Arabidopsis thaliana: one gene and its partners. The protein of the gene in region 4 interacts with the protein of the main gene of each other region in a pairwise test. Each region holds a gene or a part of one and is shown on either strand. Other genes may lie near its edges. The genes, in order: LCBK2, TBP1, HSBP and HSF1.

What was found.
Region 1: the proteins of HSF1 (region 4) and LCBK2 interact in a two-hybrid assay, tested with the Arabidopsis thaliana proteins (one study listed by BioGRID).
Region 2: the proteins of HSF1 (region 4) and TBP1 interact in binary tests that used the Arabidopsis thaliana proteins (3 or more experiments, as listed by UniProt).
Region 3: the proteins of HSF1 (region 4) and HSBP interact in a two-hybrid assay, tested with the Arabidopsis thaliana proteins (one study listed by BioGRID).

The regions. Positions count from the first base shown.
Region 1 is NC_003071.7:18,947,040-18,955,028, reverse strand, and holds LCBK2 (Diacylglycerol kinase family protein), read right to left. Parts: upstream 4,228-7,989; 5' UTR 4,111-4,227; coding exon 3,927-4,110; intron 3,767-3,926; coding exon 3,690-3,766; intron 3,577-3,689; coding exon 3,523-3,576; intron 3,418-3,522; coding exon 3,358-3,417; intron 3,272-3,357; coding exon 3,194-3,271; intron 3,100-3,193; coding exon 3,053-3,099; intron 2,971-3,052; coding exon 2,930-2,970; intron 2,837-2,929; coding exon 2,752-2,836; intron 2,664-2,751; coding exon 2,549-2,663; intron 2,474-2,548; coding exon 2,351-2,473; intron 2,271-2,350; coding exon 2,170-2,270; intron 2,080-2,169; coding exon 1,950-2,079; 3' UTR 1,754-1,949; downstream 1-1,753. Other genes in the region: KPHMT1 (ketopantoate hydroxymethyltransferase 1), read left to right, coding at 1-222; AT2G46100 (Nuclear transport factor 2 (NTF2) family protein), read right to left, coding at 562-649, 769-820, 974-1,040, 1,121-1,275, 1,343-1,703; BPS2 (BPS1-like protein), read left to right, coding at 5,669-6,712; MPK12 (mitogen-activated protein kinase 12), read left to right, coding at 7,157-7,425, 7,512-7,641, 7,795-7,932.
Region 2 is NC_003074.8:4,376,325-4,384,383, reverse strand, and holds TBP1 (TATA binding protein 1), read right to left. Parts: upstream 4,592-8,059; 5' UTR 4,331-4,591; intron 4,072-4,330; 5' UTR 4,068-4,071; coding exon 3,991-4,067; intron 3,899-3,990; coding exon 3,811-3,898; intron 3,583-3,810; coding exon 3,511-3,582; intron 3,413-3,510; coding exon 3,362-3,412; intron 3,229-3,361; coding exon 3,184-3,228; intron 3,096-3,183; coding exon 3,003-3,095; intron 2,898-3,002; coding exon 2,796-2,897; coding exon of another isoform or gene 2,733-2,795; exon of another isoform or gene 2,690-2,732; coding exon 2,616-2,689; intron 2,516-2,615; coding exon 2,515-2,515; 3' UTR 2,160-2,514; downstream 1-2,159. Other genes in the region: DIN4 (Transketolase family protein), read left to right, coding at 89-258, 346-493, 576-635, 714-771, 851-948, 1,031-1,120, 1,195-1,263, 1,340-1,426 and 4 more; AT3G13440 (S-adenosyl-L-methionine-dependent methyltransferases superfamily protein), read right to left, coding at 5,037-5,796, 5,970-6,046; AT3G13437 (uncharacterized protein), read right to left, coding at 7,692-7,807, 7,895-8,036. UniProt on the Arabidopsis thaliana protein: General transcription factor that functions at the core of the DNA-binding multiprotein factor TFIID.
Region 3 is NC_003075.7:8,984,955-8,992,434, reverse strand, and holds HSBP (heat shock factor binding protein), read left to right. Parts: upstream 1-3,773; 5' UTR 3,774-4,095; coding exon 4,096-4,098; intron 4,099-4,709; coding exon 4,710-4,763; intron 4,764-4,855; coding exon 4,856-4,879; intron 4,880-4,973; coding exon 4,974-5,016; intron 5,017-5,434; coding exon 5,435-5,571; 3' UTR 5,572-5,837; downstream 5,838-7,480. Other genes in the region: AT4G15810 (P-loop containing nucleoside triphosphate hydrolases superfamily protein), read left to right, coding at 86-261, 340-442, 576-1,626, 1,713-2,357, 2,622-3,273; RALFL33 (ralf-like 33), read right to left, coding at 7,170-7,480. UniProt on the Arabidopsis thaliana protein: Negative regulator of the heat shock (HS) response. Affects negatively HSFA1B DNA-binding capacity in vitro. Involved in acquired thermotolerance but not basal thermotolerance. Crucial for seed development, after fertilization and during embryogenesis.
Region 4 is NC_003075.7:9,867,748-9,874,987, forward strand, and holds HSF1 (heat shock factor 1), read right to left. Parts: upstream 3,900-7,240; 5' UTR 3,857-3,899; coding exon 3,524-3,856; intron 3,377-3,523; coding exon 2,222-3,376; 3' UTR 2,071-2,221; downstream 1-2,070. Other genes in the region: AT4G17740 (Peptidase S41 family protein), read right to left, coding at 1-49, 143-184, 261-336, 428-546, 618-686, 796-1,004, 1,092-1,174, 1,253-1,402 and 2 more; AT4G17760 (PCNA domain-containing protein), read left to right, coding at 4,073-4,189, 4,263-4,352, 4,439-4,593, 4,672-4,792, 4,879-4,998, 5,086-5,156, 5,282-5,510. UniProt on the Arabidopsis thaliana protein: Transcriptional activator that specifically binds DNA sequence 5'-AGAAnnTTCT-3' known as heat shock promoter elements (HSE).

The DNA of each region.
Region 1 (7,989 bases), on a different chromosome or scaffold from region 4:
TTTTGCAAGCAGTACGCTAATGTCGGAGAAGTGATTAACAAAGCCCTAATGGAATACAAAGAAGAAGTCTCTAAAAAAGTGTTTCCAGGTCCTTCTCACAGTCCTTACAAGATCACAGCAAGTGAGCTCGATGGGTTCTTAACCGAGTTGCAGAAGCTTGGTTTTGACAAGGCTGCTTCTGCAGCAGCTTTAGCAGCTGAGAACATGGAGCCTTCAAAGTGACAATTGTATCCAAAAGCTTGAGATATATTGTCAATTGTACTTAAGACACTAGAGAATTATCATTTTTTTCAAGAGAATGCAAATTCATAGAGTACGGTTAAAACTTGAGACGGTGCAAGGTTGAAGAGGTTCAAGCATGGTTTCTCTGTTGCTTGTCCAACCGAGAAGAATGGACCTTTGTTTTAATGCGACAGTGATAGTATGTTTATATGTGTCATCTTGAATAGATTCATTACAGATCTCTAAGAGCAGAGTATCCCATATTAGTTTCAGAAGCAAGTTTCATATATTTACGGTTAAAAAAATCTAATTTGAAATTGACATCATTCTTCATCTGCGCTAGTTTTGTGTCCCCACTAAACCACGGCTGGGTCTCAGAAGTTGTTTGAACAGAGCAATCTTAGGGACATTCCAATGCTCCACGTGCCTGCAAGCCAACATTCATCAAAATATGTTTAACCAGCTTCTTCTTCTTCACAAAAGATTTCAAAGTTGAAAAGAGATTAGTGGGGTTTATATTAATGAGCTCATAAGTAATCTTTTTACCTGCAAATTTTCCCGGATTCTGTGTCGAAATAATACTCCGTGTAACCAGTTGCTGTAAAAACAGATTTCCATAAAAAGACATAGTAAAAGTTTTGTTCTTTTTGTCTTCATTACTAATCATTGAAGCTATTAAAGTTGCAAACTTTATCCTAAAAAGGCTACAAAAATCTGAAAACTTTTAAGGTTTCCTTGATAAAATAAATACCTGAAAGAATGGGTTTCCATGGAAACGACATGACACAGCTAAATTTCCAATGTCCAATTCCTTTATCCTGCAAAACTCATGATGGAGCTCTGGTGAGAAACAAAAAACGAAACTTTTACTCCGACATCTTTTAGTAGTTGACCGTACCTCAAAATTCTCCCATTTCATGAGCTTCATATTGGATTTCTCGATAAGGCTTCCGAAATTAGTGCAATTCCTTTTGAAACGAGCAAGACCCTTGAAGGATCCAGCCGGATCAGCGAATTCACACTTCTCCTCATAAACCTCCGGCGTCAAATTACCTGAAAACTCAGAGATTTCGATTTAGACAAAAGAAACAGAATTCAGATTGGATGATTTTACACTGACCTGTGACGAAGTAGGATCGTTTAAAGTCTTGTTTAATCGAGTCCACGACAGCTACACGAACGGCTCGACCAGAACAATCAACAGGAACCTCAAAGCCTGTCACAATCGGAGAAGTCTCCGGAGATCGGAAAACAGAAGCAGCTATTCCGAGTAGCTCAGATCCGTACCAAGCGATTTTGAGTAGAACATTATCCGGCTCGGGTCCTTTACTTGTCTGTGGCTCGTCAGTAGGATTCTGTCCTCGGCAACTCACTCCAGTTGCTTCGAATCGGCGATTAGTCCGGAAGATTGAACGACCACCATCGCCGGAGAAGATTGGATTAACGGTGGCGATGGAATGAAAGGAAAGAGAAGCTACCATTTTTAGGATTCAATTTTGTGTGATTGATTGATTTAGGAGATGCGACTTTTTGCTTTAAAATGTTTTAAAGTATCTATTTGTGGTTAACAGAGACCACACAATAAATAGTGATAGTAACGAGTTACACAAGTAACACGAGCATAAATCTGATTCGCTAAACAATGAATCATATTACAGGAAGAATATAAAGTTGAAGTATTCTACACTTTACTTGACAAGTTTATCCTAAGAAATCTGCGGTTTTGATCAGCTGATTATGTCTATGGCACCGGGTAACACCTGAAACTTTCTAGGTAGGAATCCAAGATGTTCTCCATCTGACTGCACATAGATACTTCCACTGTCTGTAATCTCTTCAACTTCGATGCTTTGTACACTACAAGAGAGGTAGCATAAAGGTGGTGACTTTTCTAGTGCTAAGGTCGTTTAAAGGACAAAATGAGAAGAAGCCAAAGAAAAATATTACCTTCTTGAAGTCACATTGTTAACCGAAAGATGAGTCCCGTTGTACAGCTTATGAAGTTTAAGTACGAAATCATACCATTTGAAGTTTTGAAGAACCACAACCTACAGGGAAGAAGTCAAGACTCAAGAGCTACCATATTCCCAACATAGGATTTGAGATTGAAGAAAACGAATAGTTGCACCTCAAGATTTCCATTTCCAGGGATGGCGTTGGGTGTGATTTTCATTCCACCACCAAAGTATTTTGCGTTTCCAACGCAGAGAGCAGTGACCTGGGGATATATTTCCCATTCGCCTCCATTGACCTGAGAAAATAACAGAATGCTTTTAAGTTACTTGCTACGGTGCAGAAGGGATTTCGCAGAAAAAAATTTGCTTACTCTGATTCTCATATCTTGGTTATGATGGCCCATGAACGCTTGTAGGGCACCAATTACGTAGCACAAGTTTCCAAATTTCTTGTATTTTGAAGCGTAAAATCCTGCCTTTGCGCTCCTGCAAGTAATGAGCAACAAAAGGACAGATTTACAACCTTGCATCATTAGGGATCAATCACAGATGAAAATTTCCACGATATGCTTACAAATGAACATCAGCTACATTGATGAAGTAATGCAAATCCTTTCCTTCCTTGTCGATAACACCAACATCAATCCGTGATCGCATCCCTGAGAAAATGCTGGTTATGTGATATATGAGACATAGATAGACAGTTCAGTAGTAACTAAGTCCTAACTCCTCAAATGAATTCAGTGACATACCTCTAGCAATGCGCTCCACTGCTTCACAAGGATCATTGTTCCTAAAGAATGCAGGATACACTTAACATATGGCTCAACATAAGTTTCAAAAAAACACAACAAACAGAAGTTGCAAAAACTAACCAACCAAATGTTCTAGCAAAATCTGAGCCAGTACCTAAGGGAATCAGCTGCAAAATAAAAAGGATGGACTAAGATTGTATGTTGTAACTCCACAAGAGATATACACAAAAACAAGTCAAAAAGTCAACTCAAGCTACTCACACCAAGTGCAGTCGATCGACTAGCTTCCCCACTGAGATAACCGACAGGTTTCCCCTCCCAAAAGAAACCATTAACAACCTGTAGATAAAAAAAAAAAGGACAGAATGAGTGGAGCTAAGAATCTCCAGAGCGCAGTTCTAGCAACCAAAAATGGCAATTCCTACCTCATGAAGTGTTCCATCACCTCCAACCGCAATGACAGCATCTGCACCATCCCTTATAGCCTGAGAGGATAATTAGAAGCAACAGAGGATCATCATAAAACCAAATCGACAAGACAGAGAATACTGTACCCAGCAAAGTAGTATATTACTTTCACTACTCCTTACCTCTCTTGTAATGTCAATGGCATGAGAAGGACCCGATGTTAATAATTCACTTACCTGGAGAAACAAACAAGAAGACACGTAAACTCAGTTGAAGGAACTGAAGAAAGCGAAAGGAGATGGCATCACTAACACAGGGGCACAAAAAGGCAAGTGAATCAAAAACTCACATTACAGTCTTTACCAAGACGAGATCGAAGGTGAGGAAGCAACTTCTTCCATTCTTTAGCTGTTCTACCATTAGCACCTAGACTCATATAAAAGACATTGAAAAGAATCAAGAGACGATAATACTAAACCTCAATTCCACATCGAGATTGATTCTCATATTAAAAACATCATTTTTAAATCCAATGAATTTCGAATCTCAGTTTTTTTTCATCCAGTGAGTAAAAGGGCAAACACACCTTGAGGGTTTACGACGAAAACGAGATCACGGAGGCCGGAGGAGGAGACGACGGCGGCGGCATCGCCACCACCACCACCGCGAAAGGTGAAGCGATCAGAGGTAATACGTTGCTGTTTCCTAAGGAAAGAAGGTTGTTTCGCCGTGAAAGGGCAAAGTGGAGTGCAGCAAGTGGATCGTAGCATTGTATGGCCGCAATTTAGCTCCGGTCATCGCCGTTATCAAGTTCATCGCGCGATTAGACACTTACAGAGACCTTCTGTTTCAGCGAGAGGCTTTTTCACAACGTTTATGGGCCGTTTTTTATCTTCAAAGTTTTAAAAAGGCCTATTTTATCTAGCACAATGGTGGAGTTGTCTCAAAGTCAATAAGGTATTCAATATCGACGTAATTCGATTAGGAATCTTTTGGGAAAAATGCCCTTTGGACCTGATGGCCCATAAATTGAGGTAGCTATACCTAATGGGCTTAAAGAAACAAGAAAAACGATTGAGATAAAGACAGCTCTTTAGTCTTTGTCCGGATGTAAATTAAAAGTGGGGTCCATACTTTTGTCGACCGATTTGTTCCTTGACAGCTGTCATTTGGGCTTTGAGGCCCATGTTTTACGCAAATCCAAGGAATTCGTTACGTAAAACAAATAAAGTTGTTATGCCTTTTAAAAAATATTCACAGTTGCTGAAATTTTTTTGATGAGGATTTTACAATTTTTTAAAAAGCAAAGTACTACCAAAAATAATAATGAATCGTCAAAATTAATTTTCGATTAAATCTTCTCAGTTTTTATTTTTAAAAGTAATAACAGGAGTCTGTAGGACGTGGTATGTATTAGTTAGCCGTTAGATTTGGTTATAATAATTAAAATAAACAAAGACTACGCCAATCGACCAATGACTTATTTTATAATCCCACGAAATCGTCTCATTTTTGGCCCTTCGATAAAACTTTTAATTATTTTATAGCCGTCCACTTTCCGCTAAGAATTTAACTACACACAAGGCTGTGACCAATTAAAACGTAACAGCCATTCACTAATGGTATACTTGTAAGGTTGTAACTAGTTTTTATGTGACGGGCCGTAGCTTTATCAAACTCGACCTCCGCCAGACATTTTTCTCAGCCGATCGACTCAGAAAATTCAATGAAGCATTAGAAGAATCATTTCCACACGATTTTCCCTGTGATTTCTTCATTTCCGGCGACTTAAAACGGTAAGTTTCGTGGAAATTGAGTTTTTTTTTGTTATCTATAATTCTCCTTTTATTGTGTGTGTTCTTCTGTAAATCGAAGTTTGTGTGTTTAGTTCTAAGATAGATTTTACTGTTCGATGAAGAGTTTGTACCGAACTTCTGTGTTCAAAACTTCCGTGTAGATAATTAACTCCTAGGGTTCTTCTAATTTTGGAAAGATTGAAACTTTTATCCTAATTCCTTGGTTCTGGACATCTTCAAGTGTAGATTATGGCTTAGAACAATTGATTATGTGTTTGTTTTCATCTTCAAATTTTGATTTTACATCATTTCAATAAAGGTGGTAACTTCTTTTTTTTCAAGATCTCAAAAGTTGTCAGCTTTTTGGGACTCTTAAGGTTGGGACTTGGGATTGTATTGTTCCTCGATTAGTCCTTCTATGTGTGGCAACAACACAGAAGATACATTGAGTTCACAGCAAATCGGTTTGTATGATTAATCATTATCATTATTCTAACAATATTTCTCTTTTCATTTTCAGGTGTCTAGCAAAATGAGCCGACCACAAGATCCACCCCGAGGTTTCTTCCCATTTGGAAATCCCTTTCGGATGTTATCATCAAAGGGATCAGATTTATCGCCATGGCTACTTTCTCTATTGAACGGCTTTGAGCTACGTTTGGAAGAGAGACTGAAGAAACTTATGCCTAAGAACAAAGATGACATCCTCACTTTATCCTGGATGAAGCTAGCTATGGAGTCACTCTGCGAGACTCATAAGAACATTAACACTCTCATTACTGATCTCCAGCTTCCTGTCTCTGATTGGGAAGAGAAATGGGTTGATGTTTACCTCAACATAAGCGTTAGGTTACTAGATCTCTGTAATGCCTTTAGCTCTGAGCTCACACGTCTCAACCAGGGAGATCTCTTCCTCAAGTGTGTTCTGCACAATTTACAATCGGATTCTGGGGAGAAGTATCTCCAGGCTCGATCTTCGCTTGATAGCTGGAGGCAACATGTTAATACAAACAACCCTAGAATTGAAAACTGCCGTGCGGTTCTAGACAGTCTTGTTAAATCTCTGAGTCTGCCTAAAGTCAAGAACTCGCCTAAAGGAAAGGTTCTGATGCGAGCTTTTTATGGTGTGAAGGTTCAAACAGTTTATATCTGCAGTGTATTTACCGCAGCCTGGTCTGATTCCACCAAGGATCTTTTCGATTTACCTGTCTCTGAAAAACCATTATGGGCAAAGGTCTTTACTGATATGCAGAGTGTTGTAAATGCTGAGATCAGAGACATGTTGTCTTCCGGTAGAACCACGATTCTCAAAGAGCTGGAGAGCGTTGATGCTAGTGTCGAGAAGCTATACCCGATGATCCAAGATGGCGTTGATCCTGTCGAAGTTGAATTCTTCAAAGATAATGTTATGGAATTGGGGACACAAGCTGAGAAATTGTCTCAAGGGTTGGATCAGTTACTGGAGGAAGTTGATAGTTTCTTTAAACTGACTTTGAGAGGGCGCGATGTGTTGCTCTGTAATCTTAGGTCAAGTGACTCAATCTCTGGCAATGCAGTTGGAGAAGATGTAGACTAAAATAGTGAGGTAAACAAACAAGTTTAACCCTTACAAAAGGCAGCTTTAGGTTCTATAAATAGTGTTTTCTCTTTTTTCTTTGTTTTGAGTCCATCTGTCGAGCTTGTCTCTTCCGTTTAGGTGTGTTGGTCTTGTATGTGTGACTGTATGAAATCAATTCTGCAATAAAATATAAATATAGAATACATCTGTTTGGCTTGAAAAAATCACTGCTCTCTTTGTAGTGATCCAATCTTTCTAAACCTGTTTCAATCAAAGGAACAAATCAGAGGCTTTGATCTATAGTTAAGTGCAATTAGTAGTAACAAATGAAAAATGCAATATTGAGCTAATATCGAGTGACTCTGCTTCTTGTTACCATACACGTATGTAATCTTTCATGATCTTTAGATTCACGGGTCCCTTGAGAGATCTTTTACAGTTGAAAAAAGCTTCTCTCTTCACATGGATTTAGTGTCTTCAAGAGATACTTTAGGAGATCCTTCAACTTCAACAAAAGCCCTTCTTCTTGGTTTCTCTCGTTCTCGGTCTGATCATTGCATCATCATGTCTGGAGAATCAAGCTCTGGTTCTACCGAACATTGCATCAAAGTTGTACCGACACACGGTGGCCGCTATGTTCAGTACAACGTTTATGGACAACTCTTTGAAGTTTCCAGAAAGTATGTCCCTCCTATTCGTCCCATTGGTAGAGGCGCTTGCGGTATTGTCTGGTAAGTTCTTTTGATTCTTTGTCTGATAAATTATGAAAGCGTTCCTTCTATTGAATGTTCACAGGCTCTTGATTCTTGAATTTCAGTGCTGCGGTGAACTCAGTGACTGGAGAGAAAGTGGCTATTAAGAAGATCGGTAATGCTTTTGATAACATCATCGATGCTAAGAGAACGCTACGTGAAATTAAACTTCTCAGGCATATGGATCATGAGAACGTAAGCCTTAAGCATCATTTCTCACATTTGACAACATCTTTTAAGTTTCTCAAATTTGCTAGATCTATCAAGTGTTCCTGATCTTCAGGGTCAAATGCTCTTTATATATAATTTCGTTTACTCTAATCTTCAAGCCTCGGTTTGATTCTTTAGGTTATAACCATCAAAGATATTGTAAGACCTCCGCAACGAGATATCTTCAATGATGTCTACATTGTCTATGAGTTAATGGACACTGATCTTCAGCGAATCCTCCGTTCTAACCAAACACTGACCAGTGATCAATGCCGTGTAAGTCTCTGTGTTGTTCTAATCATTTGTAAAGTCATGGAACTCTCTGATTTGATC
Region 2 (8,059 bases), on a different chromosome or scaffold from region 4:
TCTCCAGAAGAAACTTGAGGAACTTTAAGCTAAACCTCTGTAGTTTTCAGATTGATTCGTTGGTGGAAAGCGTCTAAATTTTGCGTAAATGGCGGCAGCTCTTGTACGCAGATTCTGCCGGGGATCATCTTTTCCGGTCTCTGGTCATGGATATAGGATGCTATCGACGGTTGAAAATGTATCTGAAAGTGGTAAATCGATGAATCTATACTCTGCTATTAATCAAGCTCTTCACATCGCTTTAGAGACCGATCCTCGGTGAGCTTTTCTCGCATTTTTCAATCCTAAAGTCTAAGGTACATTTGAATTGGTTTTTATAATGTATTTGGAGTCACTTGAGTGAAGGTCTTATGTTTTTGGGGAAGATGTTGGATTTGGTGGTGTCTTCCGATGTACAACAGGATTAGCTGAACGTTTTGGGAAATCTCGAGTTTTCAACACTCCTCTCTGCGAGCAAGGCATTGTTGGCTTTGGCATTGGTTTAGCTGCAATGGTCACTTCTTCTCTTCTTTTGTTTCTTCTGTTTACCTCTCATTGCTATCACATCATCTTACTGGTTACTTATTCGCTTGCAGGGAAATCGAGTTATTGCGGAAATTCAGTTTGCGGATTATATTTTCCCGGCTTTTGATCAGGTAAAAATGCTACCTTTACCTTTAAACCAAGTTATGATGACGCATGAGTTCTCTTTATGGAGTTTTGTGATTTCGTAGATTGTTAATGAGGCTGCAAAGTTCAGATACCGAAGTGGAAACCAGTTTAACTGTGGAGGTAAACTCATATCTTCTTGTGCCTTCTTGGTTATGAGACACCAAGTTTTTACTCATTGGGGTTTATGTGACAATTGTAGGACTCACTATTAGGGCACCGTACGGAGCAGTTGGTCACGGTGGACATTACCACTCGCAGTCCCCTGAAGCTTTCTTTTGTCATGTCCCTGGTATCAAAGTACATCTTCTTACTAAAGCTTCTTCTTTCTCTATTTGCTTCATATTCTTAGGTGTATATGAAAATTGCATGTTTTGGGTAGGTTGTTATTCCTCGAAGTCCACGGGAAGCTAAGGGATTATTATTGTCATCCATCCGTGATCCGAATCCCGTTGTCTTTTTCGAACCAAAGGTACTACTTCTTGAGTTATTTTCAACTTCAAGAACCTGTAAAAGAGTCTTTGATCCTTTGTTCTTCTTCTTCAGTGGCTATATCGTCAAGCGGTAGAGGATGTCCCTGAAGATGACTATATGATACCTTTATCTGAGGCAGAGGTATATAGGTTCCATTTCTAGTGTCTCTTCTTTTAGTACACTTCTAAGACTAATAAATGAAAACTTTTTGTCACAGGTTATGCGAGAAGGTTCCGACATAACTCTTGTTGGATGGGGAGCACAGCTCACTATCATGGAACAAGCATGTCTTGACGCAGAAAACGTTAGTTTTTATGTTTTGCACTTAATTAGTCTTTGGCGATACAGATGATGAAACAAAATGTTTTTGCAGGAAGGAATATCGTGTGAATTGATAGATCTCAAGACTCTGATCCCTTGGGATAAGGAAATCGTTGAGACCTCAGTGAGAAAGACTGGCAGACTTCTTGTAAGTTAAGCTTCTCTGAGTGAGTATCATTGTCCTAAGTCTCAGAGAATAAATGTGTTTGCTTACTTCGGTTGCAGATTAGCCATGAAGCTCCTGTTACAGGAGGCTTTGGGGCCGAGATCGCTGCAACTATAGTTGAGCGTTGCTTCTTGAGGGTAAAAACAAGTCATATTTGTCTACAGCATTATAATTTTTGGTAACAATGTCTGGTTTTCATATTTGCTTACATGTCTGGTTACTTTTGCAGTTAGAAGCACCTGTAAGCAGAGTTTGTGGCCTGGACACTCCTTTCCCTCTAGTGTTCGAACCTTTCTACATGCCAACCAAGAACAAGGCAAGTTTTGTTTCTGGTCTGTATCTTATACATATATTTTCGTTTTTGTTGCTAATTCTTCCCTGGCTCACAATTTGATGCAGATATTGGATGCAATCAGATCCACTGTGAATTACTAGCCCATCTTAGCATTGTACACATGATTCTCTGTCTCCTATCTTCGAAATAATTATTGATGCTGGTGGTTCAGACATGTAATGGATACTGTAATCACCACTTTTGTTATTTAATCTATGATCTTGAAACTCTCCATCTTTGTTCACAATCTTGGCCAATCTCTATGATAAACAAGACTTTAGGGCTACACACTGAGTTAAGGTTCTACTTGTAACATAAGTGGAAATGTGAGGACACTACAGCAACATACATGTAAGACATATCTTGGAAAGAAAAAGAAAAAAAATAGAACCGAAGAATTGTCTTTAGAATCTCCATTGTGTATATACAATGTTATATTATGAACCAAAACACAAGGTGAGAGTCTAGCTACTGTGAAAGCCTTTGTTCAAGGGCAAAATTCTCAGCAAGCTTTAGCAACTCCAAGGGGCTAAGACCGCACAACTAGTTTTGCAGGGAACAAATCCGTGACCCTATAAAAGATAAACACAACAATTAGGTTCATGCACGAATAAATCGAGAAATCAAACATTACTAAGAAAGATGAGGAAAGTTGACGGGTGTGTTACATACTATTGCTGTATCTTTCTGAATTCCGAGAGCACGGGGTATATATTCTCAAAGGCTTTGTAGGTCTCATCTCTCATCTGATAATGAGTGATCTCAGGATTTTTTCAGGTGACAGAAGAGCTAGAGACTAGAGAGAGACATAACAAGTATTATCACAAAACCTAAAGAGAAGTGAGATATTACCTTGGCTCCTGTTATTACGATCTTCCCAGAGACAAAGATTAGAAGGACGATTTTTGGGACTTTCATCCTATAAATCAGCCCTGGGAAGAGCTCGGGCTCATACTAACCACACGCCAATATGAGAGAGAGGTAATGGCCATCAGCACAACGTTTTTATCTCTAAAAGTCGGTCCTTGACTACTAAATGTATAAGTTAAGATCACTCACACTTGAGAAAGCAGCGTGAGAGTAAGCAAGACCTTCAAGTCTTATAGGGAATTTGACATCACAAGAACCTACAATATTCTGAATCTTGAAATCCTGCAGGATGTAACAATTGAATATATTTAGTATAAGCAAAAGTAAGAAAAAAAATGTTGGATAGGGAAAAGGTTTAAAGAAATTGTACCTTGAATTTTGCAGGGAATCCCAATTTCTGCACAATCCTAGCATACTAAACAATAAAACATCTCCTATTAGCATAAACAAATGAGGAGCAAATAGCATACTGCAATTATTGCTAAAGTAAAGAAGAACAGATCTATAAGAAAGTTAAATTAAAGAGGTTAAAGATAAAAAAAATCTACCTTTCTAGCAGCCATCTTCGAAAAGTCCTCGCTCTTAGCTCCAGTACAGACCTAATTGGAGATTAGTCGCCAAATTCAGAAGAGAATTCAAACCAATGTAATTAAATTTCAGAATTATGAAAAAGTATTGCCAACCAAAATAACTATACCATTTTCCCTGAGGCGAATATTAATGCTGTAGTCTTCGGTTCTCTGATCCTCATTATCACCGCAGCAAAACGCTGGAAACATAAAACACAAGAGGTATTACATAAGACGAGCTTAGCTAAGGCAAATTAGTTTAGCAAAAGCCAAAAACAGATAATATCTTAGATTCTAATTAATCAGTACACAGTATATAGACCAATCAGATCTCAGGTAACAATAAGGTCAACTCAAGGAGAGAGTACTCTTCCAAACAACTTTTCTACCGTTTATTAAAACAAAAAGTCACAATATAATGCAAATACCTTGGGATTATATTCAGCATTCCGAGCCTGCAAAGCTATGGCTTTAAGATCTAGCTTGCAGTCTAAGTTCACCGTGGAGACAATGTTTCTGAAACAAAACATCAAAGATGTCAACAGGGGTCAAACAAACACTTAATCCCAAGAGACAAAAAACAAATACGAAGGCACAAAAGAACTCACTGAAGAGTAGGAACAATCCCTGAAGGATGCTTGCTAAGATCAACTGGATTACTCCCTTCCAATCCTTGATCAGTCATTCTTCTATAGTTACACAAAACCAAAATCAACACAATCAAAATAAGCAATAGCCAGAAAATATAATAGACACTAGACACGATCCAAGACAATATGCTTAAAAGTCTTATCAGATAGACTTATCATTCAAAAGGGTTTCAATTATTTGAGAATACAGAGCCAATTTTAGATTTCATCTTCCAAAACAACGAGACTTATCCTCTTAAGGTGATGAAACTCATAAGATCTAATCGAAAAAACTCAGGAAAAGGATTAAAGGTCAGACCTTTGGATAGCGAAGAAATCCGAAATCTAGGGTTTCGTAGCTTTAAGACGAGAAGGAAAGATTCGAGGGAAGAGTTTGGGCGAAAGGAAGCCGAAGAATTGAGAAAAGGAGAAGCCTTTTATACAAAGAATTGAGAATCGAAGAGGGAAAAAGATTTATAAATCGGTGCTTATATAAGGGGAGAGTGAATTTGTTTCTCTCGCTTCTGGTTTTTAGATCTGTGAGAGAGAGGAGGTCATCGACTTGCGTTTCGGATTTGGGATCCTTAAGCCCCTTTATACCTATATATACATACCCATGCTACCCTTGACCGTCCTTGTTACATCGAGGGTAATTTTGGAAATTTATGCGGTAATGCTACGATGACGGCTGTCTTTCGGTTTTATGTGAAAGTCCACTCCTTTTCGGCCACGTCAGCTTTAGTGTTATAACGCTATTATATTTTTGCATATTTAGCGATTTAGTGAACATTTTTTTTCAAGTAGAAATTTATAATTTTTCATTGATTTTTTCAAATCACATAATGTGGAATTGAAAATCAAAATTTCACATCAGTTAAAATCCACTAACCAATAACCCCACTAAATCAAATCACTGTTACGACTACACCACCAACACAAAACATGATTTTCATAAAAATTAAAACACTAGAGAATTCTTGGTTAAACAAAGCATGCTTATGAGATCTCTAGCCATCTTTGTAGTATCAGCGCCATTGTTTCTCCATAAGCGAAGATAAGGATTTCGAAAACTGCGAAACAAACGATGATGATGATGTCTCTTTGTCCTGGCTCTCCTCATCCTTGTCTCTCCAGAACTTTAGGATAACGAGATTCTCCTCTTCTGTTGATCTCTGAACTACGATTCTCGAAGCATAACCTTTCTTTCTCATCATCAGACAAATCTCTGCTGGGAAATTTGAAGTTAATGTCACTAAGTAGAACCATCCTTTCTCTGATAGCAAAAGATCAACCACAGGCAAGATTTTATCGATGACTGTCCGGCCATTTTCCCCTCCTGCCCAAGCAGAGGCAATACCTTCCATTCCAACTTCATATTCAGGTGTTGGCACATAAGGCGGATTCACCACAATCACGTCGACTGAGCCAGCAAGTCTCTTCTCTAGACCAGTAGCTAAATCTGCGCAGATAACATCAGCATTAACTCCATGTGCTTCTAGAGTTTCTTTTGTCACTCTTGTAGCTATCGGGTTAGTGTCAATGGCGAGATAATGAACACCAGGAACTTCGTTTTGAAGAAGAAGTATAAGTGAAGTTATGACATATCCGCTTCCGCATCCAATCTCCATACAAATCTTAGGGTTGTGCTCTATAAGGTTGGTGCGATCAGCGAGTAATGCATCAACTAGCGCAAATGAATCATCACATGGTTCATAGACCTCACGATGCGAGCTTACAAGACGGATAGCAGCAATTCTTGGTGGCATCTTGTAAATGACTTGACTACTAAACAAACAAACAAAAACCACACCATTACAAGTTAGAAGGTTTTAACTTTGAGAAGGTGTATTCCATATTTCAAATATAAACAAGCTTGCAGTCTAAAGTTCACCATAGACATCAAACAAACACTAACTCTTAAGAGACTAAAATAAAGACAAAGGCACAAAAGAACTCACTGAGGAGTAGGAACAATCCCTGAAGGATGTTTGCTAAGGTCCATTGGATTACTCTCTTCTAATCCTTGGTCAGCCATTCGTCTAAAACAACAGACAATCAAACTAAGCAAAAGAACTCAGAGAAGATAATTGCCACTAGACACGATCCAAGACCACAAGAAAACTTATGCGTAAAAGTCTGATAAGATAGCTTCATCAAATGGGTTTCAACTATTTGGGAATACAGAGCCAATTTTAATTTCATCTGCCAAAACTACGACACTTTTCCTCTAAGCTATAATACCGATACGAGAAATCATATCTGAACGATTAAACCCATGAAAAGGATTAAAGGTCAGACCTTTCGATAGCGAGCAAATCCAAGTTTTGAACACGAAATCGAGGTTTTCGTAGCTTTAATACGATTATGGAAGATAAAGAATCTGGCTTTATGAGATGGAGGCTCAATCGTAGCCTTGAAAGTCGTGCCCTTCTCTCTCTCTTGAAGACAATTTCCGGTAAGTAGATTTAGTTTCCTTTTTCTTTTTGTTCCGATCTGCTCTTCATCGTCGGTTTGAAGCCTCTTCAAGGAAGTCCAGGAGTGAGCCGATGCTTGTCTCCGTCAACGTGTGGTGTGGAGCTCTCTCTCTGATGTGGATTTGGCTCTGGTTTTGTCGGTCGAGAAGGTTGCGGCGGGGGTCTCTTGGTTATGGACGCTGAGGGTTGCTGCGAGGTTCTCAGGCTCACCCGTGATTCTAGTCGCTGCGTCCACGGCGGAAGTTGGAGAGGGGTAAGGGGGGGTTCGTTGTCTGATGCGGTGGTTAACAGTAGATCTGTTTGGATCTTAGATGGCTGCAGCGGGTTTTGGATCTAGAGAGTCTGACTGAGCCACCAGTCTTTAGGTCTGCCGTTTTTGGTCTCCACCGGTCCGGATCGACGTGTGTTTGGCTCTGGGTCTTTGCTATTTTCCGGTGATGGGAGAGAAGTGTTATCGCTGAGTGTTTCGGGTTGCTAGGTCGGGATCCGGTTCCGTGGAACCGCTACGTCGGAGCGGCTAGCTTTCCGGGAGTCTTGTGGTGGGTTGGTGCGTTGGAGTTGAGTCTCTACAGACGAAAACCGGAATCTTTCGTCGGTGGTGGACGATTCTCGGAGGCGGCCACAAAGCTGTGGGACTTGAGTCCGCCGGATCTAGGTTTTGGTCGCTCTGCTAGCGACGGTCAACAGGCGGCGAGCTTTTTTCTTTTTCCTGGCGATGTGTCAGAAAACCCTAATTTTGTAACTGGACCGAATTGTTTGTAAGTTTCGGCCCAAGCCCATTGGGTAGTTTTAATGAAATTATAAAAAAAAAAAAAAAAAAAAAGAATCTGGCTTTTTGTAAAACGCGGTTTTGGGTAGTCTTCGAAATCTTCAATTTTATTCAACTAGTAAAGAAAAAATCTCAGACGAAAGATTTTCACGAAGAAGAAGCACCGGCTACGGCGGAGGAGAAAAAGTGGAAACTTGGAATAATGAAATCAAGCCTACAAGTTTCAATAATTTACACTTTAGCCCCAAAACTTACAAAATCAACATAATTGAATCTTCCCATGCGTGTAATGGGCCGAAAGCCCCTTAAATTAGTGGTTGAGATATAGCAAATACACGTTTCTAATTTCAAGCTTTGAAGTTTGATCTTGGTCGATATTATCTTCATAGAAATTGAAGGATGGGATCTTATGAAAATGTTCACATAGCTCCTTTTAGTTAATCATTGCAACAAATCCAGCCTTTTGCAGGAGGCGAACGGCTGACTTTTACGGTGATCTTCTTTCCTTTGTGAATGTCAATCTCTCTACCTTCTTCTTCTTCTTCTTCATTGGCTTGTTACACGTTAAAACTATATTACAAACCTCATTTTAACACCATATAATAACAATATTTGCACTTATGCAGTTATGAAGACTTACTAATTTTCCGGTTTTTGGAAAAAGGAACGACGGTCGAATTGGAAAATGTGATGCATAAAAGTAGAAGCAAAGCTATAAGAATGAACTTGAGACTCATTTTTCTTTCTTCCTCTTTCTTCCCGGGTATATATGTATATAACATCTTATAAACTATAAATTAGCTAG
Region 3 (7,480 bases), 880 kb from region 4:
GCTGGTTCTGTTCCAATTCGTGCACCTGTTACAATTGATGAGGATGATGATGATACTGGTACTGTAACTGATGAACATAACTCAGCAAGTAGTGAAGCTAGTAGTTATAGTAATGGACTTGATTTTGAGACTGATGAAGATGAGACTGTGTTAGAGGATGTGGTTTTGGATGGGGTTAGGGTAGATAGGCTACTAGGGGAAGAGTTAGGTGGAGATGGAAGTGAATTTCAGGTGGGAGTGGGATTTATAGACCATTTGCAGGTGATGTTGACGAGGAAACGTCGGTGAATTACTCGTCTTTGGGAGGAAGATGGTGAGAACAGTGATGAGGTTTGCGAGAGTGAAGTTAGTGGAGATGAAAGAGGTAGTATGAAAGCAAAAGTAGTCATTCCTCGGGCTGTTTTGTCTTTGGATGATGATGAGTTTGATGAAATTTTGGGTAGTATGATGAAGAGGCTGTGCTGTTGGGTGTAACTAAGGCTCCAGGTGATGAAGAAGCTGAAGTTGAAGATAGAGGGTCGCAGTTTGGAGATAAGGGAGTGGTTATGAACCAGAGTGTTCGGATTCTTTTATAGGTGATGTTGATTCTGAAGAGGTGAGAATGAACTATTCAGATAAATTAGATGATGGTTTGATGTCCTTTGGGAATATTGAAGAATCAAGTCTCGGTGTTCCACCAGAAGGTTCTAGTGATTTTATGGCAGAAAATGAAGGGAACTCTAGTGAGGCGAGTATAGAATTGGGTCAAAATTTCAAGCAACTCATCGAGAAAGGGGATAGTAAAAGTACCATCAACAAGGAGGATAGTGGTGGTAGCATTCATGAATTTGACGCATTGATGAAGCCAAGTGATGTAGAAAGAGTAGAAGATAGTGCAGTTGAATTAGCAAAAATGGGAATGAATGATAAACCAGAATACGCAGGTTCTAATATAGGTGAACTTGTATCCATAGAGGAAGTTATGGTACAAGAGAAATCTTCTGACAATGTGTTAGTGTCTTTTGAGAGTAGTCTTGGTGTTATGACAGGTGAATGCAAGGAGTTTCTGGTGGAAAGTGAAGGAAACGCTGTTGATGAGGATAAAGGATTAGATGAAACTGTAAGCAGCCTTGTCGAACAAGGGGTGGGTCAAGCTAGTACCAGCAAGGAGAGCAATAACAGAACTGATGTTGGTAGTGTCTGTGATGCAGATGAATTGATAATTCCACGTGACGAGTCTATTGGATCAGAAAGCAGAGACTCAGGGGATAAAGACGCTGGAAATATGATAGGCAAGGCAGAAGAACACTGTGAAAATGATCGTGGTGCTGTTAGCGAATTAGAAAAACTTGAGTGCGCGGATGAACCTGAAATTGGTATGAGTTCTGAAAGTTTTCAGTTAACTCCAACTTCAGATTCTGAAATGATAATGAACCTTGAGGTCGCTGGAGGAATAGATGTCGTTGTAATTGGTTGTGGTTCTTCCGATCAAAAAGCTGAAGAAGAATCTGAAAATGAAGGAAATCAAGAATCAGACGATACTGATAGGAAGTTGTCACTTCCTGATGAAGATAGAGCATCAAGTTTAATAAGTTCCTTTGAAACAGCCAATGAGACTGTGGAAGATGGGAATCAATTAATAAGCAGGTCAATTTTCAGTCTGATAGCGAAGCAAACCAAATCTCAGTGGGCATAGAAGAAACCAGTTTGCTTTCGGTTAAAGACATTGAGAGGACCATGCCTGAAAACTCTTCCGTAATTGCTTATGATATAATGGAAAATGAGACGATGGCACGGCTGATTCATAATCACACTTTTATGGAGCTTGACGAGTACGAAGGAACAGGTGATACAAGTGAGAAACTCACTGGATCCAGTTTCCAGAATTCTTCAGAACTATTATCCTCTAATCATTCTGTGGAGCTGATAAGTGAGAGAGTGAAGGAAAGAGTTGAGAAGACTCAGCTCTTGAAGGAAAAGCTCCAGAGGATTATAAGAAGAACATGTCTTAGCCGTGAAAATTCAACTGTTACTAAAGTTGCGTCTAAGATGAGCCTAGCTGGTGGAGAACATCCAACGTCCTTAGGGCTTGATCACATGTTTGACGGAACAAAGATAGTGCTGCCTGAACAAGAGTTTCCAGCTGATCTAGACTTCTCCATTAACGTCCTTGTTATCGGGAAAACTGGGGTGGGAAAAAGTGCAACGGTTAATTCTATTTTTGGGGAGACTAAATCTGCTGTTGGTGCATTTGGAGTTACCACTAACTCTGCAAATTATGTTGTTGGGAATGTAGGAGGAATCCAGATAAGTATACTTGATACGCCAGGACTCTTGTCCTCTGCAACTGAGGAACAGTTTAATCAGGAAGTCCTTATGTCAATAAAGAAAAGCATGAGAAAGTTCCCAGTTGATATCACCTCTATATTGACCGTCTAGATGACACTCCAGACATCCGTTTACTTAAAATCATCACCAGTTCCCTGGGCTCGTCAATATGGAAAAATGCTATCGTGGTTCTAACTCATGCAGCTTCCGATGTTGTAGATTCTTTAAGCTACAAGGAGTTTATTTCTCAGAGATCTTCTCTTATGCATCAATCAATCAGACAAGCAGTTCCAGAGTTAAGCTGTATAGACCAGAGCAAGATGCCTAGGAATTGTTCTGGCAGAGAACAACATGAGCTTCTTCTCCGCAAACAAAAGCAGCGAATCTACATGTTCGGATTGGAGATTGAACTTGCTGATCTTATGTTGCTCAGTTAAGATCCGGTCTAAAGCCGGTTCTTTGCAAAAGCAGAATACCGATGTAGAAAAGGCCGGTGTCTTTGGCTCCCAGCTTAGCTCTTTCACTCTATTCTGTTCCTTGTGGAATGTGTTACTTAACTCAGGGCACACTTCTCATTCACATGATGATTTGGAGGAGAAGAAAAGGAAATTACTGGATTCTTACCCTGAAATTATATGGGACGAACAGAGTCAAGAATGTCTCGAGCAAGAAACACTTCTCGTGGAGAATCAAGAATCAGAAGACGTGGAGAGACAACATGAAAAAGGAACTGTACTTGGTCGTGTAAGAACCAGAAGAGGAAGACTTGGATTCCAAGCAACAAAAAGGTTCGGTATCTATCTAGATACATCTGATGTGCACGCAGGGTTTTCCATTGGAAGCCGAGACTGTAGAAGAAATGTACAAGAAGAAGGGAAGATCTTGGTGAGGATGAGAGGCTCCATGTCTGTTTTAGGTTTGGTTCCTATGTTGATATCCGTATTCACTTCTGGAAAAGATATTTAAAATTGGAATTTGCTCTTGTTGTAGAAGTTGTAACATATCAGATGTGATCGTCGTGTCTTTTGTATTCCATTGATAATACACGAAAATTAACTATATCAAATACCAATGGTGTGAGGATAAGCAACATTTCACTTGTCTCCTGATTGTCTTGTGGTCAGGTTTGTTACTTCTTCCTCTATTGGGTTGTGGAGGATTAGAATCTCTCACATGGAGATAAGATGCTTATGTATGTCTTTTGGTTGTAATCATATAATTATATAAATCATGTGTTTCATTTCTCTTGTAAAATCATGATAGTGTTCAACAACCTCGTTAATATATCTATTGATGGTAAGAAACAAATAGGCTGTTCCAAATCTACATACTTCAGTCATCAATGTGTCAGGGTTTATGCCATTAGTGAGATAAGTCGTTATACAACACAATTCGAATTGGTCTGCCTTTAATCATCAAGAGGAACAAAAAGTTAAGCCAAATTTACAAATAAGATGATTACAAATAAATGTTTGCAGATTTGAACATCCACAATAATGATTTGAATCATCCTAAGATCTAGATCTCAATACCAAACGTACATAAAAATATTTGAAATTTGAATCACACACACATGATCCCACCCAATCGAATCATAACGATAGAAACTAAAGTAAAGAGGGGGCATTTTGGACATTGTATACCTATAAGGTTGGGGTTAACAGTAACAGCGTTTCTCTTCTCGTTTTATAAACATCGCATCACTCTTCTCCTCCGTCGTCTCTCATCGCTTTTCGCTGAAATCAAAATTTCTCCAGTTTTCCGATCACTCGCAAGAAAACCCTAAAAATGGTAAATATCCGCCTCCTAATATCATTGCGCTTTTTCGATTTTGCGTTTTCGTTCACGAAACCTAGGCTCGTTTATTCGGATTTGTCGATTGCATTTAAGGATATATCTTCGGATTAGGTTTTTTTACGGTTTAGTGGGAATCTCGCATGATATTCTTATGGTTGTTCTGTTATTGTAGATCAATTATCGAAATGTTGAGTTTATAGTGAAATCTGGACGATTTAGAGCATCTTTTGCTGGGTTACAATAAGATTTTGCATTTGCTCGATTTTCTGTTTTCATCTGTGGATTTTGAACTTGTGAATTCGGCTTTTCAAGAACTCTAGTATCGTGAAGTCCAGGATCTGATGGGGAGATTCAGTATAAGTTAACTTTTTCGTCCTTTTTCTTACTTAGAAATGTTCATGTATCGAGTTTGCTGTGTGTAATGCTAGTAGTACTAAGAAAGTTCAGATAGAAATATTCTCAATGGGCAATAGTTCATGCTTGTTTCTTTCCTTGTAACAATTTTTTTTCGTTAGTATAAAGCTTCAATTTCTTGTCCTGATGATTGTTATATTTACTGTGTCTTTGAGTTTCTTCTTACAGTTTTTTTTTTCTTTTGCTGACAGGATGGTCATGATTCTGAGGATACTAAGCAGAGCACTGCTGATATGACTGCTTTTGTGAGTATTCTCGTTCTCTTTGTTTGGTATTTTTGTGACTTTGAGACAATTTCACTTGGTTTATCACTGAATCCTTGAATTTTTATATGCAGGTCCAAAATCTTCTCCAGCAGATGGTAGGTTTTTCAGCTTTTATGTCTTCGTAGGCCTTGGAATTATACCTTCAATAGGTAGATTTTGATTAAATTTGGTCACATTTGTGTGTTTCAGCAAACCAGGTTCCAGACAATGTCGGACTCCATCATCACAAAGAATATCCTTATATCAATCTGTGGTTTTACTTGAGTGTTGCTTGAAGTAGAATATATGAAATGTTTCCCTCCTAGAACCAGTAATGATGATTGATTATTTGTGTCTTCAAGGAAAGAAGTTTAGTACTAGGTATTGAGAATTATCATTAGAATCTGTCTATTTTTCTGATTAAAGTATTTCTTGAGAGTCTAAATGTCTATTCTATGGGTAGTAGCACATGGTTCTATGGTATTTTCTCTTGTTAAGTTGCTATTATATGCATGCTTGTTCTTCTGCTCGCTATATATTCTAAACAAAAGCAACTTTATCACCATGAACTGATACAAGTTTGTAATCTGTGGTAACTCTTTGATCAGCAATCTTGTGTTCATGACATTGGTTTTGATCTCCTTGACTTTGATTTTGATTTGATGGTTCACTTGATGACATGGGAGGCAGAATCAATGAGCTGGAGCAAAGCATCAATGATCTAAGAGCCGAGATGGGAGTAGAAGGCACTCCTCCTCCAGCCTCCAAATCAGGCGATGAACCCAAAACACCGGCTAGTTCCTCTTAAAAAGGAATGTGGTGTTCATTGACATGTCCGAAGGAAAAAGAAAAACTATGAAATATGTTAAGAGCAGGCAGTATTACTTTTAAAATTCCTGTTTTAAGAAACGAGTTTGTTGTTTATTAAAGTTCATCAAATAGATTGATGATGTGGTGCATTACATTATTCTCCACCTATGAATTGCATTTCTATTTTGGTCTTGAGAGAACTAAGAAGTCTTCTTATGCTCCTATAATTCATATTACTGTCGATACTTAAACGCAACTTATCAGGGGGAATAGACAAACCAAGTTCATTGTTCCATTTTTGGGTTTGATTCCGGTTTTATTTTTTCAGATTTTGAATTTAGAAAAGGTTAAAGTATAGGAGCCATAGTTAGACTGATCGATTTATCAAAATCGAATCTCATAGCTGTATTAGGCTTTGATTATTTCGCATTTGTGTTTACATGAAAAAGGTCGGTAGAAATTTTTTAACAGTCTATTTTTGCCCAATGTGAATATATTTTCAAAGAGGATATGTTTAGCCTGCGTTTACAACTAAAAACAAAAGTTGTTTAAAATGTTGAAAATTGCAAGGTTTCAAAGAAACACACTAGATAGAAAAGTAGTCACAAGACTATCATTATCGAATAAATCAATAAACAACTGGTGATGAGTTGGTTTATGCTTGTCATGAGGTATGAGTTTGCGGTCCAAAACCCCTTTTCTCCAAAACTTTGGTTTTTATTTCTCTGTGACAAAGCCCCTTGAGGACCCCGGAGGAGCAAATAAAGTGTATCTTCGAATATCAATGCTTTGTTATTTTGTTTTGACTATTTTTTCTCCAAATCAGCCTCCCTCTAATTATGGGGAGTAAATTTAGTGTCTTCCCCCTATTTTCTTTTCTCATCATCTTTACATTGTGTAACGTTTTCTTCTCTTTTGAGTTTTGACAATTTTTCTCCTCCAAGTGGCTCCATGACTCAGATTCTTTTGACATATTGCTGATAGACTTTAATGTAATTTGTATTAGTTTTAAATAAATGAATCGAATACATAAGATTATAAGAAGAAGAAAAAAACGTAATAAATACGCCACGTGTGTGTGGTTTCTGGCGAAAGTATTTGCCATGTGAAGCTGCCCCTTTAGTTGGCCCCAACCAAATACCAATTATTGCCTCTTCTCTTATTTTCCCACTTCTCCACATTTAATACTATTTCTCTTAATACACTATCTCATTATTCAACCCGATAAAATAAGGAAAATACCAAATTTGATTTCTTCCCCAATCATACAAATATTTCCCTTCATACAAAAAAAAATGAAACAACTACAATTTTAATATCCATATAAATTCCAATATGAACACCTGGTTTTTTCTTCAGCACATGCAAAAAGCACCCATACATAACATTTGATATATTAATCAGAAATGTATAATACATCTATATATATTTCTGTTCATATATCAAACTTATATTGAGACTGTATGAAACTATATTGCAATGCAAAGTATAAACATAGTAAACACCAATCAAAACAAATAATAATCTGAAAAATTGTATAAAAATCAAAACAAAAGAATTTGAGAGTAAAAATTTTAAAGTACATAGAGAAAGAGATTATCGCCTGCAACGAGTAATAGCGCTACAGCCACGAGAGTAAGGATTAGCCTGAGCTCCACGTCGGCAATTGTAGTAAGATGCGCCGCGTCGTGAGCAAGGAACTGTGTTTCTCCTCAGCGCACCGTAGCTTATATACTTCGTTGTTGCTAAAATACGCCTGTTGATCTCAGAGTCCATCTCGAACTCTTCCTCCGCCGTGGATAAGGAGCACTCGGCGATGGTACCGTTGCATTTCGACTCGATCGGTACGAAATCGCCGGAGGATTGGGAGGTTACGGCGGCGAATAAGAAGTGGACGGTGAGAATTG
Region 4 (7,240 bases):
TCTAACACCTCGACTATCGCAAATATACACAATCACTCCTTTATCTAACCTGTGGATAGCAAATGTTGAAGTTTCTATTATGATAGCTGTGGATCTTGAAATTTTCTAATTCGTTATATGTAACGGTTTATGAGGTTATTACCAAAATTTAGCAATCTCAATTCCTTCTGGGAAAGAACCTCCACTGCAGCAAGAACAATTTTTTTAAGAAAGGCTGTTGCAAAAGCAAAAAAGAGTTTATGTTCTCAAAAAATCATCACCTATTGTCTCGAAGGTCCAAGACGAATGCGTTTACATTGTTGCCTCTCAAGGTTTCAATAGCTTCCCTTACCGCACCTACAAAAAAAGTGTTAAGACTTTGAGAGATAATAAACTAGAGAGTAGATAAATTTGTAAGAAGGAATCAGTAATGCCAAAGAATACATACTAGAAGCATTTTGATTGAATGTTGTTAGCTTGATATAGCCAATCTTAGGGGAGTTACTCCCAGAACCAGGAAGTTCACATAATCTTGACTTCACTGGATTCACAGAAACCCGCTCTCGCCTGAAATAACAACAATTGTAGTTACCAAATGAACGTGACAACGAAGATAAATGTAGGCATGAGAGAAATACGTCAAAGTTAAGAGTCTCGTTTCAGGTCCACTGCGAATCGCTAGCTCCACTGCACTTCCTTCAGGTCCCCTGCATTTCAACCAAAGCATTATCATCATTTCTTACTTCAGAACCATTAACTCGTCACACTTAGATTTTTCAAAGTTAAGGAATGATGAAAAATGGAAATGTAACTCACTGCAACATCTGTGCAGCATCGTATATGGTAAGAGTTTCTGTGGTTGTATTATCAATTCCTTGAATAACATCGCCAGGTAATATCCCCGCCCTATTTGCAGGACCTCCTGGAGCAGCTGATATAACAACAAGCCCAGCTGGTGGTCCATCTGATGCAGTGGGGTAACCTATCGACAGCCCAACACCCGTAACCGCCCCTTGAGTCCCCGACTGCCTTCAACCAAACCATTTAATTACTAGATCTTACATACAGTCTATTTGCTAAATTCAGAACTGTATATTTTCAGGAAATCTTACCCGCAAACTCTTGAACTTTCCGGGCTCCAAGAATCGAGTAAAAGGATCATCTAGTGTTGCCACCATTTTCTTGATAGCCATGTCTAAACACAAACCAACACCAAATTTAGAAGCAAGTTGTACTAATTTTGTAAAAGGTTAATAAAGCTATTCACACATACATGTCTCTTCTCGAGTGTTCATAGGCTCATTTCGTAAAGCAGTCTCTCTGTAACGAAACCAGCTTTGTCCATTAAAGGTTTTATCAATATAAGCACGATCAATTGTTCTCCAAGCCTCGAGGAAGAGAAGATTCTCTTCAGTAAGACCCCCTAAAGAGACAGAGAAAAAAAGCCACACAAATGAAATCAAATTGCATTCCCCGAAATTTATATGGTTTCTCAACATGTAAAAAAAACAGAACTTACATGATGGTGGTGAATCAGTGGTAACAACAGAAATGGAAGAGACAAGCAGAACAGAAACGATCCGAACTAATGCAACAGAGAGATTCTGTCTGAAATTAACAGAAGATTTCATCATAACCTTCCCAGATAATTTCCTCTGATCATTTCTTTCGATAACACACAGAAATCTATTACAGACGAACACGACTCCTGGGTTTGCTGCATTGCTCCTTGAAATGTTACTACGACTACGAGCATAACTAAATTTGCTAGCTTTTGAAATCTTTGGAGGTTGTTTTACCCACAATTTCACCTGCAAAGGTTGAAAATTCTATTACACAGCTAAACGGACACAAATTGGGGAATTGCAGGAGAGAAACTTAAAAAGGAGTCAACTATACGAAAGAAAAGTACCTGGATTGAGAAATTAGGGTTTATTTTGTTAGGCTTAGTAAAAGAAATTGGGGATAATGAAGAGCTCGCAAGGACCTCCATTGAAAAGAGCTTCCCCGGGAAAATTCCAACTCTGTTTTTCTTATCGAAAAAGGACTACAAATATGATTGGACAAAGTAGTCACTTTCTACAATAAATTAGAAAAAATGGCATTTTCTTTTTAATAATAAATACAACTCTTCTATTATCCAAGGAAAGATTTCTGCACAAAGTTGCAACCGTACTACTGAGTCCTAACGATAATGTTAGTAGAGAAAGACTTTACAATGGATACTAAACATAATCCTTTACTAGTGTTCTGTTTCTGATGTGAGAAGACCCAATTCTTCTATAAGCTTATCCATATGTCTACCATTTGTGTTGTTGTTGTTGTTGTTGTTGTTGTTGTTGTTGTTGTTGTTGTTGTTGTTGTTGTTGTTCTCTAGTGTAGTTGCATCTCCAAAAACTGGGCTTTCTGGCATATATTCTTCAAGGAATTCAAAGTTACTCATTAGTTCATCAATCTCGGGGTCTTCGGGTATTCCCTCAAGCTGAATCGGGACTGAACCACCATCAAGGAATGGGCTTGGAGAGATGAATGCCTCTGGAACATTCTTCTCTGTATCCATGAAGTTTTCTGTAGGGAAGTCGTTGATACTCTCTCGTGTCAATTGTGGTATCTGGGAAGTCTCTGGCATTATGGTATCCGGGAGAGAAGTTGAAGTAGAGGGTAAGTATGATAAAGGCTGTCCTGATGGTACAGATGCATATGCCTGTGACTGTCCTGAAGTTATGGGTAGTACCTCTTGAAGAGTGACTCCTGATACCTGGTTTGGAGATGAGAACCCGTCAAGAAACGGATACTTATCATCTGTTTTCATCATGTTCCACATCATTGAATCGTTTCTAAGTGGCTGATACTTAACTATCTGTCCATCTGATGCTTCCAAGCTATGGCTATGACTATTACTCTCAGTAGCAGCAGTACTATCCTCTCTGAGTCTCCGCTTCTTATTGGCCTCGGTTACATGCATATTACTATCAGTCTGCTTCTGTATAAACTGAGAGAGGAAAGTAGGATTCTGTACAGCTTTAGCAAGGAAAGACATAATCTGTTGTTGCCTCTGCTCCATAACCTGAAGATGTTTAACCAAAACCTGAAGTTTATTATCTGTTGTTTGTTGCTGCTGGCGTAACTTAACGAGTTCCTGCATCAACACGTTTTTGTCTCTTTTAAGCTGTTCAACTTCTTCCTCTAACCCAAATTTCCCAACCTCAACACATGAAGATAATGCAGCCATTGAACCTTGACCCTGAGATAATTGCTGAGATTGTGGATTACTACTACTACTACCATGTCCCTGAACAGATTTTCTCCGGCTTATCTTCTTCAATAGATGTTTTTGACCTCTTAAGAAACCTTCATTAGCAAATTCCCATCGATCTGGATCCACTTTCCTAAAACCCTGTTCATCAAAATTGGCACATGAATCATATAAATCTTATCAAACACATCAAGCACTAAGATTATTCAACGAAATCATAATCTATACACAGTACAATTAGAGAAATCAATGGTGGAGAAATTAGGGCGCGAGAGAATTTATACTTACATAGGTGTTTAACTGGCGAACAAAGCTGGAGAAATTGTTGTGTTTGAAGTATTTAGGTAGAAGATCACGAGAAAACTCCGGTGGATCCCAAACAATGAAGCTATTGTTCGTCGGACTCCATGAGACAATCGCGTCCGTCGCCGGATCTTCCACCATGTCATACGTCTTGCTAAGGAAAGGGGGCGGTAAAGAGTTCGCATTAAGTAAAGTCGCTGGATGCGGATTCCGCGGTGGTGGCGCCGTCACAGCCTCGCCGATATTCGTTCCTCCGCCGGTAACACCGTCCATTTTCGTACGGATAAAGAAAGAGAAGTATTTGAAATTTACAAACATACCCTTTTATTTCTCTGTGACTCAGATATAAACGCGATATCATAAAGATGGGCTTTTATTTTTCTTTTTAGTTTGTGTGTGGGCCAAAAAGATCAACTTTATTAATAACTGGGCCTGCTAAAACAAATATAATAATAATCAATTTAATTGCTATATTGTCGGCATACATTTTCTGGCGGGAAAGCAGAGGAAGGAGAGTGAGAGAGAGAGAGAGAAATGAGTTCGTCCTCGTCGCCGGCGATTGAACCAGACACACCGGACCTGATTTGCCAGCTCGATAATGTTCAAGGAATGGTCGATGCACTCACTTGCGTCCGATGGAAACGCCACCAGGTTTTTATCTCCATCCTCCCCAAATTCAATCTAGGGTTCTTCTTTGATTTTCTGAAAACTTCTCCGTTTCCAGGATGCTTTAGTAGAATTATCTGAACACGGAATAGTTTTGATTGTTGAAGAATCAGGTTGTCTTCAAGCCAAAGTTTATCTTCAACGCGAGGTATCGATTTCTGAGTTTATCTTAAATTTTCTAAACCCCTAAAATTCGATTGAATCCGAAATCTGTTTGATGTGTTATATGAGTAGCTATTCACGAAATACGAGTATGGAGCTCAAGGTAGGCCGAGATTCGGAATCAGCTTAGGGCTTCTTGTTGATTGCTTGAACACATTTTCATCACCTGGACATTCTAATACTATAGAAATCAAGTATCCAGGACCTGATATGGAGCTTCTTCTCAAGTATGTGTACTATGATCCTTTGCTTTGTGAATATACGGATTACGAGTAATTAGCTGATTGGTGTGAGTGTTTGATTAGATCTGTTGATACCTTAAACTCTTGCATCTACTCTGAGATAAGAACTAGAATTCCCGAAACTGTTACTTGGGACTACAACTTTGAGCAGGCGGGAATCGCGCCACTTACTTTTACAGTAAAGGTAGTAACATAGTTTAGTATCGTTTTTCGTTTAACATTGTTAGTCTGAGCTTTTTCTCAAATGGTAATTGATAATGTATCTATCAGTCAGCGGCGTTGAAGGAAGCAATAGATGATCTTGAATGGCCTGGTTCAAGTGTACAGATCAGTCTTCAAAAGGAACCCCCTTGTGTAATCTTTAGAGGAGAAGGACATGGAGACTTGCAGGTCTTGTTTCTCACTTGTTTCTTGGTGATGTATATTATCTTAATGTGAAAGAATCAAGGAACATATTTCGATCTATCCTCTTTGCAGATAGACTTCATGTATTATGCCAACACAGATCTTCTCCTTGCCTTTCATTGTGATACCGAAGTCTCTTACGGGTAACAATGAACTCAATTCTTTCTCTACCGTAGCTTTATGGTTAAAACACACGCTCCTACGCTTGATTTACCAATCAAGAATAGTAGCCAGATACATTTGCTAAACTTCTCATTGTTGATTGTAGGTACAAATACAAGTTTTTGAAAGCAACAACGGCAAACATACCGGGAAACGTAGTGAGAGAAAACAGGGGAAGCAAACTAACAATAGGAAGAGGAGGAATGTTGAAAGTTCAGCACTTGGTTTCAGTTTCTAAAGCTTTAGCTCCACAAGTGGAATCCGCAGGGTATCAGCCACCGAGTCGGATTGCTTATATAGAGTTCTTTGTGAAGCCTGAAGAGCCTGCTGATTAATAGATTTTCTCCTTCAGTTACTTTATCTTTGTAATTCTAGTTCTTCTTTTTAGTCAGTCTCTCAATACTATCAGTATCAGTATCAGAAAGAAAGAAAGAAAAAGTTTAAGGCTTGCAAAGAAAAACTGCGTGTGGTTTCACTAAATTAGCTCAGATGTCTCGTCGTTTAGTGTTATATCGCTGAACGACGTCGTGCAGTGGAGACATAGGTATGTCATACCGAAAAAAGAAACCGGGTGTATAGTTCGGGGGATTGAACCCGACGTGAATCGAACACGCAACCTTCTGATCTGGAGTCAGACGCGCTACCATTGCGCCACGGATCCGGATGTGTAACATGTATATTTTACTATTTAATATACAAGTTAAAAATAGCTTCACCGTTATAATTTGATCTCTGATTATGATTGGCGAAAATATCTGAGATGGGTTGGTGTTGGTTGGATCAAATAAATAAAAATTGTAAGCAAAACCTTTAAATGTTCTAAGCTTGACACGTGGAGTTAAAACAGACGTCCAAGTAGCTTTCTCACTATTTCAAAGTTGGTTGGACTTTTTTCTCATGATTATTAAATCACACTCAAAAGAGAAAGAAATATAAATGACTCGAGGCCAAACACCAAAAAAAAGTCTTCAAAATATAATTTTAGAAAATCATATGATTATGTTGACAAAAAGAAAAAGTAAATCGTATGATTAGTGTTTCTAATCTTCTTAAGAAAATGATTACGTTTGTTAAAGAAGAGTTTGGGTGATGATTTTATACTAAAGTTAGCAGTTTGTGTGTTTTCTTTAATCATTTTTTGTAAAGAAAATTACCAATAATGTTGACATGATATCATATATCACTACCATCTATTGGAAATAGTTTATAGAAGAATAATTAAATGAATCGACAAGAACTCACACATATACGCAAATTGTTATGTATGTGCACCTAATGTAGATTTGTAGGCATTATATGGTGGGGACGTGTTACCATTTATATTGACATTAATGATGGTATTGACACTTTTGTGGACCTAATCATGATACAAACATACATCAATGCTGCTTATATAATATACTTATATGTCTATGTCGCGCACACACACCCACACATATAAACGGTGGGAATTTATCGAATGATATGCTAATCATTTCTGTATACTAAACGTACAATGTCTCATTTGTGTATGTATATGTACCGATGTACGTATAAACCAATGTATATAGATGTATAGACCAGAGAGACCTAATATACATGGAAAAAATTCTTACTAGAGTTAATAAAACTGATGAACCTAGCGAGTCACTGAGACATGCGAGAATCTCTCCTTTTTGAATGAACTATATATAGTCTAATCAATAACATATTAATAAATTTACGGCAATTTGCACCAATTTGATAATCTAATCATATATTCTTTGTCGGGTTGATAATCTGAAAGGACATTATAAACAATGAGAAATATAAATCCTATTATATACGAAAGTATAAACAAATCATTCCTTTCGAATCTTGACAACCAATAAATCCTACCCTAAGAGATTTAATTATATATTGATTAGAGAAATGTATTGTATTCTTCGAAACATATGCTCATGAGCACGGACACGGTATATTGTTTTACTGATCATCGGTTTAAACATTTGAAATTTTGAACTTACTATCTACATATGTCTTCGGTGAACAAACCTTTATACGGATTGATAAATAATACTCTTCGAATTTATTAATCTTATTAAGC